Linked DNA regions of Ovis aries. The protein of the gene in region 1 interacts with the protein of each later gene in a pairwise test. Links are inferred from orthologs where the notes say so. Each region holds a gene or a part of one and is shown on either strand. Other genes may lie near its edges.

Region 1 (3,556 bases):
GTCGTAAATCATAGCTGGCGGCTGAAAACAGTTTGCCACATAGGGAGGGAAGAGAAGAAAAATGTTCAAGCAGCTGAAAAGGAGCCGAGGCGAGGAAAATGCTAAAATCATCACACAGGCAGTAATCTTAAATCAGGCATAATGCCGACTAACAAATTTCCTCTGCAGTGGTCTAAAGAAAGAAACGAAATCCCCCCCTGCACCTTTAAAATATACAATCACCTATCTTACCAGCTGCCTACATGACAGCCATCAGCACTGCTGAGAATGCTGCCAGGGGCCCCAGATGAACATTACAATGTAAGGGACATGTGTGTGTGGGGGTGGTTTTCAAGGTCAGCAGCATCAAAAGGCCAGCATCCTGGCCTAGGAACCAAACTCTGCACTGGCCAGTGTCTCAAAGTCAGATTGCTCCTCCCCCCCCCCCACCCCCAGACTGCTCCTTTTTAAAAGGACATAAACGTTAGGTTGAGGAAATACACACTGAATGTCAAAAACGGCTACAGAAGTCATGCTGTGTTGTTTCTTGGTCTCTTTACTTAGCTGGAAAATGCATCAAATGACAAGAACCAGAATACAAAGGACTAATAAAAAAGTAAAACAGAAAGACAGACCCAAGTCTTAGCTCCTTAGAGAAGGGAAGGCATTTTCAAATTATCTACTAGTATGCTATATCATAATGATATACACACCTCACCAGAACAGGGGAGTTTTAAAAAATAAGATTGCAAAAAATAAAATTAATCAGGGAAACAAACAAAATACTAGCGTCCACTTTCACTGACAGCCTCCAATCTTTCATTCTTATTTCAATTCTTTTTGGAAAGTTGTTCTCCCATTTTCTCTCCTCTGGAGACCAGGAATCACCTGTGTAAGTCTCTAGAAAATACTAACGCATAGGTCCAACCCACAGAAATTTGAATTTTATTGGTCTGGAGTGCATCTTGGGCACCGGAGGCTTCTTTTTCCACAGCAATACTGGAGGCTTTTGAAACACCCGCCTGCCCCCCTTGCCATGAGTCTAATATGCAGCCAGGGCTGAGAACTAATGCTCTAGCAAGACGGGTATCCAAGGAGAATGAAGATAAATATGGATGCTTATGGCAGGGATGCTAGAAGATTCAGAAGCAGACTTACACTTTTATTTTATTAAACTTTAAGGGTATGATATATCCTTCACCACAAAAGACTTCACAACCTTGAAATTAATGAAAGGAATGGAAGCTGTGGGGGGTGATGGAGACACATGTGCACACATGGAAAAGATATAGACAAGAAAAAAAAAAGACAGGAACAGTGCTTATGGCTAGTTACTTAACAGCTATATATCAGAAGGATTAAAATAACTGAATCAAACCAAAGTTTCATAAACACATTTTCAAAAACTGAACAATAAAAATATTCATAAGGAAGATGAAAAGTAATTTATTTGAAGAATGCAAAAATACAATAGGATCAAGAGAGACTACACATGCCACTGAGCTGTTCACTTTAAGATGGTTAACTGGGGACTTCCCTGACAGTCCAGTGGTGAAGACTACGCACTTCCCATGCAGGGGCATGGGTTTGAGTCTGGTCAGGGAATTAAGATCCTACATGTGTTGGTGTGGCCATAAATAAATAATTAAAAAAAAAAATAAAATGGTTAGTTGTATGTTATGTGTTTTCACCTGGTTAAAAAAGAAAGAATATAAAGGGTTAAAGTTAAGTGCTCTCTTTGGAATAAAAGAAAAAAGTGAAGTAGTAGATATTTTAAAGCTTCTTTCTATCCCTAAAAAATTCACTGAAGACTCTCCATAAGACAACTCAGCCACCTATTCACAAAAAAGGCACTGAGTGGCTGAATGTTTTACAGGGATTTAATTTTGCCACCTTGACACAATTCAGTGGACACATAGTACATTTCTTACTCAGCCAGGAGGGGGCGCTGTAGTGGATCAACAAAACTCCCCGGGGAGCTCCTGTGTTCAACAATTTACCGTATAGGCCATCCCTAGAATAAAAACAACCAAAACAGTGCCCCTCTTTTTTGGGTGAAGCGAGGAGGAAGCACAGGAAGCAGAAGAGTGGGGGGTGGGGGGGAAGGAGAGGAGAAATGAAGCTTACCTCTCTCTTTTTTTTGGACTTAATATCATCAGCACTGTTTGAGAAATTGGATTTCCTCTTGTTACTTTCTGATTTCTCCCTGGGTTTGTTATTTTCACCCTCCTTCATCTTCTTATACTTTTTCATAAACTCAGAAATTAGCTCAGGGCAATCCAAGTTTTTCTCAGGTTCCCAAGTATTGTGCTCCCTGGGCAAGAATGGAGAAAAAAGGAAAGAAATGAAGAAGTTTTGGGGTAGGAGGAAATCCAATACCTTACTTTACAGAAGACAAATAGGCAAAAAGGGAATAGAATTCCTATGCTTAAAGGAGATAATCAATTTGATTCTAGAATCTATCCAATATATTGAGACACACACACACAAAAAAACTTGCACACAACTATAGCAGCATTTTAGGAGTCAAAGACAGAAAACAATTCAAATGCCTGCCAATAGGCGAACAGATAAACATAACATGGTATATCCATACAATGAAATACTATTCAGCAACAAAAAAGGGACGTAATACTAATATATGCTACAACACGGAAGCACTTCTAGACTGTGCTAAGCTAAAATAAACAGGTGCTGATCAGTCGTTCCTTGTGGCTGGGGCTTGCAATTAAATACAAAAATGTCCAAGGGAATTTGGGGAGGTTACGGAAATGTTCTGAAACTGGACTATGCTGAAGGCGGCACAGCTCTAAAAATTTACCACAAATCACTGAATTGTGTACTTTCAGTAAATGAATTTTATGGTATGTAAACTATGGCTCAATAAACCTGTTAAACACTCAAATATAAGTTCTGCTTTGTAAGTGGCAAATGTGATTTCATACATCATCTTTGCAAATCCTGGAGAGAGGACAATCTAATTCTAAATGCATTCCAGTTTACACTGTCTTAATTATGTTACTTATATTTCCAAGAAATGCCAGCAAATTGATGGAAGACTTCAGTAGTTAATTAGAAAAAAAGGCAGTAAGGGGTTAAATCATTAGAATATAAGCGAACCATAAAAAGGAAAAGACTCAAAACTGGGATTTGGAGCCCATTCATTCATTGCTCTGGATTCAGGTCTACTGTCACTAGGTAATCAAAATGCATTTCTATATTAATAAGCAAAAATAATTCAAGTTAAATAACTGTGTCTAATTAAACTCGGATCAAGGGGAGTCCTTCTATGAGGAAAATAAAGTTTGCATTCACAAACTTGTTCTCTGTATTTCTAGCATGGATTTTAGAAGTGCAAATCACTAATACCAAGAGCAGGTTATGTAATAAAAGCAAGAAATTTATCTTCTTTGGGAAAAACCAGACCAGGCATCCTCTTCACTCCTAGCCAGTGGCAGAGGTTCTTTCATTAAGAACTAGCTACATTAAGATATATCTGTACACATATCACAGACACAGTTTCTATAATCCCTTCACTGACTTAGGAAATATTTTTTACATTTATGCACTATTTATT
Region 2 (2,651 bases), on another chromosome or scaffold:
GCTGCCCGCCCTGCATGCTGGCCTCTCCTGACGCTGAGAAGCGCCGGGCTCTGGCCACCTCCCCTCATTTCACAGGGAAAAGAAAGAAAAACGTTCAGGGGTTGCTTTTTGATTGAAAAAAAAAAAAATCATGCCACGTACATGACTCTTATGTCTTCCTTTTTCATGTAAAAGCATGTTTCAAATGTTCTTCCAGGTCAGTGTGTATGTGTGTATGTCCTTTGAATGGCTGCAGGGCACTGCACCGGGAACTCCATGATTTGTAATTTAACCACCTGGTTCAGCGACCTTCCAAGTTTTCAACATCCTAAAGTAGATTGCAACGAAAACCCTTCCTCACACTACATCCATCTGTAACAGCATTAATAGCCTAAATGCTAGTCGGGGAGGGCTGATTAAAGAAATTCTGGTACCAAGTGGCACACAGCCACCAGAAGCAATTAATAACTGGTGAAACAGTTGTGTACAACACATTAAAGAAGCAAAAAAAAAAAAGGAGGGGGAAAAAAAATCAAGCTGCTAAACGGTATGTGTTCTGGACTGAACGTTTGTATTCTTCCCCCACATTCCTATGTTAAATCCTAATCCCCAGTGTGATGGTATCTGGAGGTGGGACCTTTGGGAGGTACAGCCCTCCTCAGTGGGATCAGTTCCCTTAGAAAAGACCCCAGAGAGCTCCCTCTCCCCTCCAGCCATGTGAGGACACAGCGAGAAAACGGCCATCTGTGAGCCAGAGGAGGGCCCTCACCTGCCAGCGCCTTGACCCTGGCCTTCCCAGCATGTCTGCTGTTTCAGCCACACAGTCTAGGGTCATTTGTTGTAGCAGCACGAACAGACTGAGACGGAATGTACAGTCTGGGCCCATTTAAAAAACTATATATATGTGTGTGTGTGAGAAAAAGTGTGTACAGAATATTTATGAATGTTTCAATATAGAAGGAAATACACCAGACTTAGACTTACCCTTTGAGGGCACCTTTCTTTTGCTCTGTATTCTTTTATAAAGCTCAGTTTCTTTTGTTTTTAAACTACTTTCTACTTTCAGAATAAAGAACAATACATATATCAAAAATAGTTGTTGGGGGGAAACACTTGGGCTGACTGTATCCTTCCTCTTTCTCATGAAGGGAAGTGAATGTTGCTCAGTCGTGTTGGATTCTTTGTGACCTCATGGACTGTATGGTCCATGGAATTCTCCAGGCAAGAATACTGGAGTGGGTAGCCTTTCCCTTCTCCAGGGGATCTTCCCAACCCAGGGATCAAACCCAGGTCTCCCACATTACAGGTGGATTCTTTACCAGCTGAGCCACCAGGGAAGCCCCCCTTTCTCACAGTCCTAATATACTCAGCCTGTGCCTCCAGCTCCTGGGAAGGGAATCATCAGAGCCAGGGGGCCTCTCCACCCTGATGCCCGGGCCTCACCTGCACGTCCACGGTCACGTTCAGACTATTGCTGGCACCCGCGGCCTCCTTGGCCTTCTTCTGCTCTTCCTGCAGCCGCTGCTCAGCCAGGCGCTGCTGCTCTTCCTGGGGCCCGGAGACAGCGGGAGGCAGGATGTCACAGACCAGGGGAGTGCGCTCCCCCACTCTGCGCCAACCCCAGCGCAGCCCGGCGGGCACAGCAGCTCCCGCCCGAACCGCTGGGGCCAGGCCGCCCCAGCCCAGAGCTCAGTGCAGAGCCCTTGAGAGCCACACGCCCGGCCCCCCGTTACCTTCCTCCTCTTTTCCTCCAGCTCCCGTTGCAGCCGCTCCTTCTGTAATCTCAAGGCTTTCTCTCGCTCCTGCAGCTCCCTGAGGACCGAGCCAGAGCCAGTCAGAGCAGGAAACCGAGCCCCTGTTCCGTCCCTGCCAGGGAAGCCAGGCGCCCCAGCCCACTGGCGGGGTGGGCACACCAGCTGAGGGCCAGCAGCTGTGCTGGGGGCTGGCGTGCACAGCCGTGTCGGGGGTGCTGGGCTTTGAGGCCACCAAGCTGGGCCCCCCTCCTCCACAACTCTGCACCTGGCTCTTATCTGCCGTACGATGGGAACCCAGCCCCTTTCAACCAGAGTTGACAGGACAGTGAAATGAGGTCTTTTGAGTCACTGCCACTCGTCCTGACCGCAGGCCCACACCCAGGCCCAGGCCTGATGTGAAGCTGGGCGGGGCTGCTCACAAGCCACCTCCGTGTACTAGCTTGGATGACCCTGAACAAGTCACGGAACCTCTCTGAACCTGTGTGCCCCTCTGGAGGTGGAGCTGCTGGTACACCGGCCACAGGTTTAAACAGAAACGGGTGGAAGGCGTGTAGCTGCCAATTATTATGACCACCAAACCATCGTCCGTCCCCTCGAAGCCCCCGGCGCTGCCCAGCACACATCCGATTCTAAAAGCACACCAGCTGCCACCCTCTGCTCCCTTCCCAGGCTCCTGTCTCTGGCTCTGCCCACAGGTCAAAGGACACCTTTGTGCCACTCCTCAAGCACAGGAGACAGCCCCGATGCAGTGAGCCCCCTGGCGGTGGACCCCCCACGCAGACGGACGCCTGGTGTTTCCCAGGAGGTGGAGGCAGGGCCTGGGCCAAGGTCTGCCGTGTGTCTACACTCGCACAGGCAGAGTTCTCTATGTCTACACACAGGCACAGGGCCCCATACAGCTCTCGGCCAACGGTGATT

What was found. The genes of interacting proteins can lie anywhere in the genome.
Region 2: the proteins of CBX5 (region 1) and INCENP interact in binary tests that used the Homo sapiens proteins (3 or more experiments, as listed by UniProt). The link is inferred for Ovis aries from reciprocal best matches to the Homo sapiens genes CBX5 and INCENP.

Annotation. Positions count from the first base shown.
Region 1 is NC_056056.1:132,289,496-132,293,051, reverse strand, and holds part of CBX5 (chromobox protein homolog 5), read right to left. Parts: intron 2,294-3,556; coding exon 2,107-2,293; intron 1-2,106. UniProt on the Homo sapiens protein: Component of heterochromatin that recognizes and binds histone H3 tails methylated at 'Lys-9' (H3K9me), leading to epigenetic repression. In contrast, it is excluded from chromatin when 'Tyr-41' of histone H3 is phosphorylated (H3Y41ph).
Region 2 is NC_056074.1:37,182,132-37,184,782, reverse strand, and holds part of INCENP (inner centromere protein), read right to left. Parts: intron 1,792-2,651; coding exon 1,713-1,791; intron 1,528-1,712; coding exon 1,423-1,527; intron 1-1,422. UniProt on the Homo sapiens protein: Component of the chromosomal passenger complex (CPC), a complex that acts as a key regulator of mitosis.